Linked DNA regions of Alligator mississippiensis. The protein of the gene in region 2 interacts with the protein of the main gene of each other region in a pairwise test. Links are inferred from orthologs where the notes say so. Each region holds a gene or a part of one and is shown on either strand. Other genes may lie near its edges.

Evidence for each region. The genes of interacting proteins can lie anywhere in the genome.
Region 1: the proteins of RINT1 (region 2) and FAM81B interact in binary tests that used the Homo sapiens proteins (3 or more experiments, as listed by UniProt). The two-hybrid records come from large-scale screens. The link is inferred for Alligator mississippiensis from reciprocal best matches to the Homo sapiens genes RINT1 and FAM81B.

What each region holds. Positions count from the first base shown.
Region 1 is NC_081826.1:239,356,465-239,362,823, forward strand, and holds the start of FAM81B (protein FAM81B), read right to left. Parts: upstream 3,465-6,359; 5' UTR 3,308-3,464; intron 1-3,307.
Region 2 is NC_081827.1:26,523,101-26,529,459, reverse strand, and holds the start of RINT1 (RAD50-interacting protein 1), read right to left. Parts: upstream 3,637-6,359; 5' UTR 3,561-3,636; intron 3,519-3,560; exon of another isoform or gene 3,472-3,518; intron 3,464-3,471; exon of another isoform or gene 3,337-3,463; intron 2,275-3,336; 5' UTR 2,256-2,274; coding exon 2,079-2,255; intron 1-2,078. Other genes in the region: PUS7 (pseudouridylate synthase 7 homolog), read right to left, coding at 5,392-5,528. UniProt on the Homo sapiens protein: Involved in regulation of membrane traffic between the Golgi and the endoplasmic reticulum (ER); the function is proposed to depend on its association in the NRZ complex which is believed to play a role in SNARE assembly at the ER.

The sequences.
Region 1 (6,359 bases), on a different chromosome or scaffold from region 2:
GGACCACTTTTCTGCAAGTTATAACCTGCAGGGCTATATTACATAAAAAAGAAAGGAACCTATTGTACACATGATGGCTGAGTAGGCAGCACGTTGCATCGCCTACAGTGAGATGTACCATTTGATCACAGGTATTTATGAAGGGAGAGTAAAGAGAAATTTGGGGGGTTTCAGGTCCCTTGGCTTTTCATCTGTCTTTCTGACAAAAACAGAATAAAATATTAGACATGAAGAGAATCTTCGTAGGGAGGGAAGGAGAGAAGGAGGGAGAAAAAGTGCCAAAGTGCAGTTGAGCAGAAGCACTTTGTGTATGTAATTTAACAAAAAGAAAAAAAATCTTGCTAAAAATCAATAACTACCATTTGAAAATATTTATAATGACATGTGAATGGGCCTGTATTGTATACAGGTCACAGTTACCCCTGTTATCTGTCACTGGGTGCGTCTACATGTGTCACTATGGTGATGTTGTTACTACACTGTGATTTAGTACTTCCTTTTGGAAGTACTAAATCATGGCACAGTAACAGTCTGTACTTCGTCGTACGCACGGCACATGGTTATTTTCAGCAGCTACTTCGCCATAGCGGCACACTACAGTGGGGGAGTGTGTTGCTAAAGTGAAATAGCTGCTGGTGACATGTAGACGCCCACGGACACTGTGTCGCCATAGTGTGTTGCTACGGCAATGTAGTGTCATGTGTAGACACACCCACTGTATTGTAAAACGTAATACATGTCTGTCTGTGATTTCCTTAGTAATTGTTTAATGTATATTAATTGAGATTTCCAAGCTGTGATAATGGTCTAAGCAGCTACCAAAGCACTTTCTCACTTGCAGCTCTCACATGTAGTATTTTGCCAGTTCTATCTCCTGGATATTAAATTAAGTGCAAGGTGCAATAGTGCAGTCATTGCAATAATCTTTTGTCTTCTCCTCTAGAGAAGGAAATAAAAACATTGTGAGAGATACATAGTTCAGTATAGCCCATTCATGTATGTCAAACTAATTCCTGAGTTACCACATTAACTTGCTGTAGCAAGCAATTCCTGCACTGGGAAAACAAATGCAAAGCTCCACATTACTTACGTCCCTGGTTGGCACCTTTTTGGGGGGGACTATGGTGGATAGATTCTCAGGTATGTCTGTACATTCTGTGTATGCCGCAAAAATAATTTCTCTAATGGCTTCTTTGCAAAGGGATATTCAGACCATGACAGAAAAAAGCTAAAGGATAAATGCCAGGGGAGAAGCCCTGGAGTCTGTGCTTATGGCCCCAATGTCACATTCAGCTGGCAGCAGATAGAGGTTGAAACCAGTACTTAAACACCAGTGCCAGGTTGGGGGAAGTGGGTTTACCTTCCAATCAGCACCATCTGGCCACTTCTTCCCTATAGAGCCTGATCACTTTGGTCTCCACTGGGTGTATCTACATGAAATGCTTACAGCGGAGTTGCCTAATTAGCTCTGCAGTAGTCATAACATCTACATGTGCAGCCCTATTAGGTAACTAATAAACACTGCTGTAGGCTAGTATTTGTAAACATAAGTGCTATTCTACAGTGTCCTTATTTAGTGCGCCACAACACACGTATAGATGCTGACAGGGGTGGCTGGGGCTTGAGGGTGCTTCAGTGCAGGGGCTGCCTTGCTGGCTAGCCCCACATGGGAGAACCTTTGTGCCCCAGCCAGCCCCCTCCAAAATACATTGAGCTGGGTTGGAGCAGCCCCAGGCTGGCAGGTTGATCCCCCAAACCTCCTGCCAGTTGGGGGTACTCCTGCCTGACTCAATATGCTGTGGTCCTGGACACACATGTAAATGCAGCGCCAGAAAGCAATAACCTCTGGTGCAAACTGCAACAGAGTTTATTGCAGATTTTAAAGTCAGAGAGTTACTATAATCATCTAGTTTGAATTCCTGCAGAATAGGACAGTGTTTCACCCAGTAATTCCAGCAGTGGAAGGAATTTTTCTTTTCTACTTGTTTTCTTTTATTTGTGCTCTACATTTGAGGTCAATAACTTGTGGATAAACTAGAAAATATTGTTGTAAAAGACATCTGGTCTCAAATCTCAAACCCAGAAGAAGTTCATTTTACCTTTATACAACCAATTCCGCTCTAAACATAAACATGCCTAATATACATATAACAAGCAATGTTAACAAAAGCTTTACAGAACTCCTGCTTGCAGAAGCAGAAAGAGCCAATCCTTTTATAATCAGATTTCAGACTTGTGTGTGGAGTTCTGCTTAGAAAATTAGACCCCTTGCTCTCTAATCAGTACCCATTGCAAGCAACCAGAGAACCTCAGTTCCTATTCTGGCAGTCCTATCCTGTGAAGAGTAAAAATCAGGAAGCTTTATTAAATCATGTAAAAGCAAAAGCAAAAAAAACCCAACCAAAAAACCAAAACATTGTGTGATATCAATCAACACAGGCTAAAGAGAGAAATATCCTGGTAAAGATGCTTGTTAATCATAATTAAAAATCACTTATGCACGTATGTGCACATACACACAACACATTTGGCTCTCGGTAATAAAGGTGAAATATTATCAAAACTGGTAAGGTTGCAGCTGTGTCCTGAAGAACAGAATTTGGCCCAAAGCATACAGTTCGTTATCTAACATTACTAAATATGAAATCATATTGTAGCAGATACCTTTAAAACATCCCTCATGGTGCACAGTTAATTGTTTGCATTCTATTACCTAATTTACTCTGCATCCACCTCAATAAAAATGTTATGGTTGCTTGATAAGAAAAATCATGTTTATGAAGAAATAACTTATAAGACATGAAAAATTGTTAAGTAATTACTGAAGAGGTGCTGCATACCTGTATGATAGTTTAAACAGAAATAACTGAGCATAGACAAAAGAAAAACTCATAACCAGGAGAAGCCACGTGAAAAAAATATTAGCAGAATCATATAATTTCATACTGTGATTTTGTTACAAATATTATACCAAGATACAACTTTTACTATATGGGACTTCTGATATTTTAATTCGATGTCCATGTGAGATTAGCTTCTGACAGGATCTGAAGGCCAGTGAATCATCTTTGAAATCATATTTTCTACGTAAGTACTGTACTTTACCTTGAATGTGATACTTTCTCAATATTTTTATGTATTCACATTAATCTGCTCAACCCCATAACTCCTGGGCCCCAAAGGCTGCTGTCAAGGCAATATAGCAAATATATCTTAGCCCTACCAAACACAAATTCCCCCTGCAGCCATCAGTAACTCTGCCAGTTTGTTGGGCAGCTAAGAAAAATGGCAAGCAACCCAAGAATACCTGCTGCTATGCTCTCAGGAATCCTGCCTGTTCCTTGAAGCAGTCACAATGGTGTTAAACGAAAATAAAAAAAGAAAGGCCTGTGGGACTTGCTTCCTTAGCATGTCAGCACGGGAAGCGGACAGACGGGGGTGACAAGTTCCTTGGGCCTCTTGGAGGGCTGCGACTGAAAGCTTTTGTTTACTCTGGTCTCTAGGTAACCGTAATGCCTGCCCAGGCAAAAAAGTGTACAGGGGAATTAGCTGGCATGCTTTCCTTACGCTGATTGTAATGTATAGGCAGTCCTCGACTTACAATGTTTCGAGTTAAAATGTTTCGCAGTTACAACATTTATAAATTGACACCCTGTTTCAACTTAATGACATCAGTTTTGACTTTACAATGCTTGATCTGATGCAATGCCATGCCAGTGAACAAGTTTGCTGGGTTGCTCATCTCCCTGGAGAACATTTGTCCAAACTTACTTGGACACGTTCTTTAAGAAAACAGACAAAACTCCAGAAAAACCTGCAGTCAAGACTCCTGAGAATACTCCAGCCAAGAGCCCTTCAAAAAGTCCAGCAAAGTCACCTCAAAGAGTCTTTCCAAATCAACATGATTGCTATTTACAATATAAATATATTAATGTAGCTATATTACTCCTCTATAATTGATCGAGTACAAAATTCTGGGGTATTTTTGGTGAAAATAGGTTATTGGGCTTTGGTTCAGGAACCAATCCCTCATTTATAACATTGTTTCTTATGAGAAAATTGGTTCCAAGTTACAATGTTTTGACTTAAGACGTGGTTTTCAGGAACCAATTGTGTTGCAAGTCCGAGGACTTGCCTGTATAAGGATTTGATAATGATAGAGTGAGGAACTCTCATTCTTGTTTTAGATGGGGCAGTGGATGTAAGGAGTGAACACTGAGATCCTTCCCTCTCACATCACTGATGAAATCTGGAAGTAGTTCCCAGGGTGTCACAGTTGTGGTGGTGGTGTCACAGACCCGAGGTGAAACCGGAAATCACAGAATCGTAGAAATTAAGGGCTGGAAGGGACCTTGAAAGATCATTGAGTCTAACCCTCCTGCTCTGAGCAGGAATACTGCTGAGATCAAATGATCCCAGCAAGGTGTCTGTCCAGTCTCCTCTTGAAGACTTCCAAGGTTGGGGACTGCACTGCTTCCTTGGGAAGTCTACTTCAGATTCTGGCCACCCTTACCATAAAAAAGTTCTTCCTTACATCCAACCCCAAACCATCCTCTAAAAGTTTATGGCCATTGTCCCTTGTTGTCTCCTGGGGCACCCTAGTGATCAGTTTTTCTCCTAGCTCCCAATATTCACTTCTTACATATTTATAGATGGCCACTAAGTCCCCCCCTCAGTCTTCTCTTCCCCAGGCTGAACAGTCACAGATCCCTTAGTCTTTCCTCATAATGTTTGTCCTCCAGGCCTTTAAGTATTCTTGTGGCCCTTTTCTGGACCCTTTCAAGATCCTCCACATCTTTTTTGAAGTGTAGTGCCCAGAACTGGACACAGTACTCCAGCTGGGGTCTCACCAGCACTGAGTAGAGAGGAAATATCATTTCCTTAGCCCTGCTTGTAATGCATTGACTAATACATCCTGGTATGCTATTAGCTCTGTTGACTACAGTGTCACACTGGCAGCTCATATTCATCCTGGGATCAACCATAACCCGGAGGTCCCCTTCAGCCATTGTGCTTACCAGGACATCTCCTAACTTATATTCATGTCACTGGTTACTTCTCCTCAGATGAAGCACTCTGCACTTACCTTTATTGACCTGCATACAGAGTGAGACAGAGAGAGTATTCATGAGAGATGCAGCTGGCACAAAAACTGCCTTCTCTGGATGCAGACTCACTGCAAGGTTCTTAGTTACTTCAAATGGCACCATTTTGCAAACAGTTTCCCATCATATTCTCTCCACAGAGCTTTGTACATGGTGAGTTCAGAAATGCAACCCAAAAGAGTATTCACCCTACCAGAAAGGGTAGGGATTTTCCCACCCAGAAGGTCCTACCCTGCTTTCTAGGCCTCCTTCTCCCATACATCCTTTCCCCCTGCTGTGAAGGCGATGCCCACAGACCTTCTGAGTGACCAGCTGCCCAGTGTGTAACTGGCCTCTCCTTCACACTCATGCTTTCCAGTGGGACTGCAGGACTTTCCTGCCATTGCAACCCCTGACTGTCAGAGGTCCTTGTGGTGCCTGGCAGCATCTGCCTCACTTCTTTTCCTGCTGGATCTGAGCTGAGGGAGGAGCCAGAAGGCTGCAAAACAGGAAAGAATCTTGTCCTTGTTCCAAACCAGTTCTCCTTGCAACCAGCCCACCTCCCCTTCCAGCCCATCTTCCACACAGGTAATCCAAGCATCATTTGTCTTCTGCCCTGCCAAACCTGCCAAGTTTACCTTTGTTCCCCCAGTCTATTTCCCCTAGGGCTTAGGCAACATGAATTGACTTTAAACTGAAGTTTATGGCTGTGTGTGAATTCTTGCACAAGGAAATTCTTGCACAAGGAAATTTGCATAGTTATAAATAATTTCCATAAAACTTAGCAACTCTACAATCTCCTATGCTTCCAGGCTTAACTTAAATGTGATGATTCCCCAGCTGGCATTGAAATCCTCAACTGCCTCTGAGCATTGCCTGGGAATTATCCAGCCCGGGCTAGATCATGAAACAGACACTATAGCCTCTTCTGGAGGAGGTCAAAAGGCCTACCGATCTGTTTGCAATAGACATGGCTAAAAGATAAATTTGGTCTCCTCTTTCTCAAAGGAACATATCCAGGCTAGAGATATGACCACCCTTTGACTTGTCTTCTATTGTAATTGTTGTGCCCTGGTATATGCTCAAGGGGCAGCAGACATTGCTTTTTTTTCTGGAGGCCCAGCTGTAATGAGCTCTACTCAATGAGTTGCCCCAACTCCACTGAACTATTCTCCCTCCTCTGCATTTCAGATGGTAGGATGGCTCGTTCCTGACTTTCCCCCCTAATGTCTCTCTGGCAACACAAGCCAGTGCTTTGATCCTTGTCTGCAGTCT
Region 2 (6,359 bases):
AGATGAACATGAGCCTGCAATGCGATGCTGCGGCTAGTAAAGCAACCAAAACGCTGGCTTGCATCTACAGATGCTTCTCAAGCAAATCCTGGGATGTCATGCTCCCATTGTATTCGGCCTTGGTGAGGCCACAGCTGGAGTACTGCGTCCAGTTTCGGTCCCCACAATTCAAAAAGGACATGGAGAAGCTTGAGAGTTCAGAGAAGAGCCACGCGCATGATCAGAGGTCAGGAAAACAGATCTTATGATGACAGGCTGAGAGCTATGGGGCTCTTTAGCCTGCAAAAGTGCAGGCTCAGGGGTGATCTGATGACCACCTATAAGTTTATCAGGGGTGACCACCAGTATCTGGGGGAACGTTTGTTCACCAGAGCGCCCCAAGGGATGACAAGGTCGAACGGTTATAAACTACTGCAAAACCATTTCAGGCTGGATATAAGGAAGAATTTCTTTACTGTCTAAGCCCCCAAGGTCTGGAATAGTCTGCCACTGGACATATTCAAGCACCTATGTTGAACACCTTCAAGAGAAATTTGGATGCTTATCTTGCTGGGATCCTATGACCCCAGCTGACTTCCTGCCCCTTGGGCAGGGGGCTGGACTCGATCTTCCAAGGTCCCTTCCAGCCCTAATGTCTATGAAATCTATGAAATATGCTGTGCTTTGGTTTTGATTTGACCTGCACAGTCAACTAGGTGAATTCATAACTTGATTTTTGGTTTCGGTTATTATGCAAGTGTATTTACCCTCCTGTTTACAAATCAACAAAACACATATGTACTCTCTCTCACACTTCCTAGGGATAATCACCTGAAAAACATTAATTACAACTCTGAAACTGCCAAGCTTGCCTAATATTGTATTGGCATCAATTATGAATTTTATGAAACAATGAATTTTTAGAAATGGAAAATTTCCCACATAAAAATAAAACACTGGAAAATTTTCCACCCCACATCTGAGCTGAGCTAGTTCACAAGAATGACATAGTATCAAAGCCTTACTTACTACTATCTCCTATTAATCTCTAGGTGCTACTAAATTAATAACCTGAGGATATGTTCTAGTATTGTTCCAGATATCAAACTTAGACTGACTGGCCTGTAATTCTTTGGATCCTCTGTTTTCCCTTTTTTCAGTTTCTGGGACGTCATACAACATCTATGAGTTCTCAAAAGACAATAGCTAGTGGTTATGCAATCATTTCAGCCAATTCCTTCATTAATTAAGGAGCTATTGATTTTTAAATATCTAGCTTACTTAGGAAACTTCTAACTTGTTCCTTCCTTCCTTCCCAGGAGCTCAATACACACACCCCTCCCCTCTCCACAGTAAAATATACATGATTGTTTACTTAAGGATGTAAAAAAACCAGCAGTTTTTCTGGCATTACTTAAAATATTGCAACACACTATTTACCTGAATCCAAAACAACCCTCAATAATTAAAACAACCCGCAATAATTAGATTCTATATATGGAAAATGTATACACTTGTTTTAATTTTCCATATATAGAATCTAATTATTCCATCTTAAATCTCTTCCCCCCACACACAGTGCTGCAGCAGGGAAAGCAATGGCAAGGGTGCAGACACTAGGGGGCAGGGGCAGTAGCAGTAGCTGTGGTTCCAGCTGACCCCAGATCAGGGCCAGCGCCAGAGCTGCAGCAACTGCCTCCCCGCCACCACCTCCCTGTACTCAAATCCAAGATGAGGGGCTTTTTCCCACCATGTTAAACAGGGGGAGAAAGCATCGTTTTGGATTTGAATAAATACAGTAAGTACATATATGGTTTGGCAACGTACAGTAAAATCGCTGATATCTGGCACAAATGGGGAACGAGGGAGTGCTGGTTCTGTAAAAATGTGGGTTACCTGAGGGCACAGGGTTTCCACCCAGACATGGAGCCGGAGTTGGTGGCAGCAGCCATATGCAGAGTGGGGGGTGGTGGCTGCATGTGGAGCGGAGGTAGCGCAGTGTGGTGGGTAGCAGCAGCCACATGCAAGCTTTCCCCCCTGCTCTTCTGTCATACTGTTTTTACTACATTAGTGAATTTGAGAACTGTGAGAATGCTTACCTGCTCCTCCAATTGCCTTTTGTTTTCTGAGAGCTCTTCTATTAGCATGCCAAGTTTTGTTAGGGAATTACGATCGTTTCCAATTTCTCTTTCCACAAATTCAGATACATAGTAGGGTATATCACAGTGATCTGGATCTCTAGCGACTAGTTGTCTTCCAACTTTAATGGCCGCCATTTTTTCTTCACCTGCAGCACTGAATTACAGGATATTTAGTTAGCCACCACCAACACAGAACTACTGACCACCAGAGTGAAATAGGGCCAGAGAAAATTCAGTTCAAAACTATTCTGTGAAAATACTGCTTCCATAAGACTATCCACATGCATAAGTTTTTGTGGGGATATGGCCTTTGATCCACAAAGTATGACACACACACACACTCATCGGCTGACGAGTGCACAGAACCAAAACACAGCTACGAGCAAGAAAAGTTAACCAGCTTTTACTCCTCTGACACTATATTTCTAAAAGCTACTTGATTTTTGGACAGGCATTTAGTAAGCAATCCTACTCAATTTACTAAGATGAGCTGTGTTTGGGGAGTTTATGCATACTGTTGATATACAGGAGGTGAGGGGGTGCGTGAGTGTATGCGTGCGCGTGTGATCTGCTTTCATAAATTATTTTTTCTGTAAGCCGCCCTGAGCCTGTTTTGGGAAGAGCTGCAACAAACATCTAGTAAATAAGTAATTTTATTTTTGGTTTAGCATATAAAAAAATAATCGAAAATGTTGGTCCAACTCCTGCAACGACCTTCGGCAGCTTTGAAAACAGTGAAATTCACGTGCGAGAGCTGTCTGGTCAGGTTATCATCCCTACCTCAACCACCAGATTAAAAATGTGCAAAATGTGTCAAATATTTCATATGTGCAGGCAGCTGAAGAAACCCGCGGCCATTTGAACATTAGCTTAAAACTTCTTTGAAAGAAACGCGTGGAAAAGGGGGAAAAAAAACCTAGAAACCATTTATACTCGTTAGTCTGGTCACCGCACCAGCAGCGGACAGGCTTGGCCCGTGACGCTGCAGGCGGTGTCTTTGCCTTAGTGCCTTTTGGCTGCTTCAGTCCGGCACAGCCGCAAGGGAGAGGAGAGGAGGGCAGGGCAGGGCAGGGGAGCGGAGCGGGCTGCCGGCCGCGCTGTCGCTGTCGCTGCGGGCAGCCGCGAGTCAGCGCAAGGCCCGTTTGTGGGAGCAGCGCCACCCCCAAACCCCGCGAGGAGTGACCGCGGTCGCACGACTCGCGCAGCAGCCGCCCACCGGGACGAGTCTCATCGCAGCACCTGCAGCAGGGCCGGGCCGGGCCGGGCCGGGCCGGGCCAGGCCGGGCCGGGCTTCCCCCCACTCCGCTTGCAGCCGCCGCCACTCCCGCCGGGCCCTGAGCCCCGCCCCTACCGGCCGCGTCCACAGCCCCAGGTCCCGCGAGAGGTGGCGAAGCCGCCCGAGCGCGCGGGTCACGTGCCTACAGCGCTAGAACAGAGTACCTGCCACGCGCGAGACGCACACGCGAGGAGGCCCCTCCGGCGGTTGTTGCCGTTATTGCAGTTCCGCCTCGCCCCACCCCCAGCGAGGGGCGGAGCCTGGCACTCAGCCCCGCGCCCCGTGGCCAATGGGAGAGCGCGGTTGGGTTGGGCCGGGCCCCGCCCCGCCGCAACGCGCAGGGCAGTGAGGGGCAGCCAGGTTCCCGCCCCCGGGCTATCCTGAGGCGGTCTCGAGGACGGCGCACAGGCTGAGGGGTGGAGGGTGGCGCTGTGCTGGTCTAAGGACGGTGACAGGCGAGGTTCCGCGGGTAAATCCCAGATCTTTAATTAGACCAACTAATGCAGCTTGGTTGAATCAAAAAGAGCCCGGCCTCAGTGCTCTGACGAGGAGCAGAGTTAACCCAGGGCTTTCACACAGGAAGCCTAGCTGTGCTGTTCTGCCACAGAAAACCTGCTCCATCATGTCTGCTATAGGCAAAAAGAGCGGGACGCAGGAGTGGGCATTGCCCAAGGGCGCCTCTAGGGCAGCCAGAAGTCTACACAAAGTTTGGGAGCAGCTACAATAGTGTGTGCTGAGATGTGGAAACACCTCTGTGCCCCCAAAGGCATCTCCCTCTGCTCCCAACTAGAGTCAAAATTTTGGAAGTTTTCTGTTTTACTGAACACCATTCTGCAAACCGCCACAGCGGGTCGGGGCACCAGCCCACCCAGGATGTCGCCTTTAACCAGCTGAGAGTTTTTTTGGGTTTTTTTTTAAAGAAATGAACGGGTCAGCCATACTAGGAACAAAAAATGGCATCCACCTGCAAGCACATACTGCATCTCCACCGATACTTCGGGCAGTTCATTTTTTTCCCCCCCTCTCAAGAAAAGATACTTATGTTTTTGTATTATTCGCACACAAATCCAATGCTCAAAAGAAGACACAAACAACTTGGACTATTTACACAATTTATTAATTCAAGCAGCAGAAAACAAGTGTGTTTGGTTGGTTTTTTAAAAATTATAACATCGAAAATGCAACAGAACTGCTGTTAGAATGGCTTTTTAATCCTTTGGTGCCGGGAGATTGGATTTGCCCAGCTCATCCACTGCCAGCAATGGACCCACCAAATTTCTGGTGCCCAGAAATTAGCTGTTATTCATGAATACTCATCTGGACTTTTTGGTTAATTTGTTTTTGTTACCTGTTCTTTTGTACAAGTACTCTTAGAGATGAAAACATGCACAATATTTTCATAATAAAATTTAGAGCTCAAATAATTAAAAATAGCTGTATCTGTTTACATCACATAAAAAGGAATTAAAAGTTTTGCCAATCGATTCATTTACCAATCAGTGCAAATGCTACTGGCATTCCAACGCTACTCAAATGTACTCCTCTGAAATAAATATTAATTCTTCAATTGTATTTAATAATTCTTCTCTGTAACATTAGCATGCTTGCAGTGACTTTTATTCTGTGCTGAACTGATGAAAGTATATTCAATGCTCTCTGTACTTATAAAGAGAAAAGCAATTTAGTATTTCCAAAAATCTGAGATTGCTGTCCTAAGCCCATTTCTTCTTAAACTGTAGTTGTGCTAGAGCTTAAGTACATTATGGGCTCAGGTAATTAAGAAAGCCAAAGCATTAAGTTTTTTTTTGTTTTTTGTTTTTTACAAACACCCATATTGCAAATAATTATTGAATTAAATGCTTAAGCTAAAAAAAAAAAAAACTTAAAAAAATACAAACTTTTTTCTTCTAAAAATATTCAATGGTTTGCACAGGACAGGAAAATATGAAAACTCATTCATATTTTAAAATCTTTATGTAGTTTTACAGCATTCATTCAGCGAAGCCACGTAGTATTCAGCTGTGTCTGGTTTTTTATACTCGTGTCCATTTTTAAGACTTCTCGAATTGCCATGGTAGCGTAAGTGGAAGGAGGAAGAGAGAACTCCATCTTCAAGGCCCTGAATTTACCCTCTGTTAGGTATGAAAGAAGCAAATAAACATTTCTGATGCTGTTCTGTCATCACATCATTTGTCCTATTTTAAATATTTTCTCAAAGTGGTAATCTTAGCATGAGGTTCACAGATTGTAGGAGGCTGGAAGGGACCTTGCAAAATCGGGTCCAGGCCCCTGCCCTAGGCAGGAAAGACAACTGGGGTCAAGTGACCCCAGCGAGGTAACTGTCCAGTCTCCTCTGAAGATTTCCAGGGTAAGTAATTGTACCACCTCTGGAGGGAGTTTATTCCACAGTCTGGACACCCTGACTGTGACAAAGTTTTTCCTTGCATTAAACCTGAAATGGTCTTCCCAGAGCTTGTGGCCATTACTCCTGGTTTTCCCCAAGGGTGCCCTGGTGAACAGTTGTTCGCCAAGCCCTTGATATAGTCCCCTGATGTAGTGGTAAGCTGCTACCAAGTCCCCTCTTAGCATTCTCTTTTTCAGGCTGAAGAGTCCCAGGTCCCTCAGTCTTTCCTTGTATGGCTTGCCTTGCAAGTCTTTGATCATACAGGTGGCTCTTCTCTGGACTCAAGCAAGGCCCCCACAGTGAGGGAGGGAGTCAGGTTAGAGGCTGGGGTGAATGGGGCCCTAAGGGGTCATGGGACAGAGCTGCTGGGAGAGGTTGGGGGGGGGGCACGACTCACTGCCGCTCACGCACCCCTAGGGGAGCCATGGGCAGGAGGGCCAGTGCCCCCCAGATTTGTGCCCAGGGCAGAGGCAGGCTACCTGCTGTGGGCTGGGGCTCTGCTGCCTTTGCCCTGGGAGCCATGCACTGGCCATGCATCCCTTGCCCAACCAGTGGCATT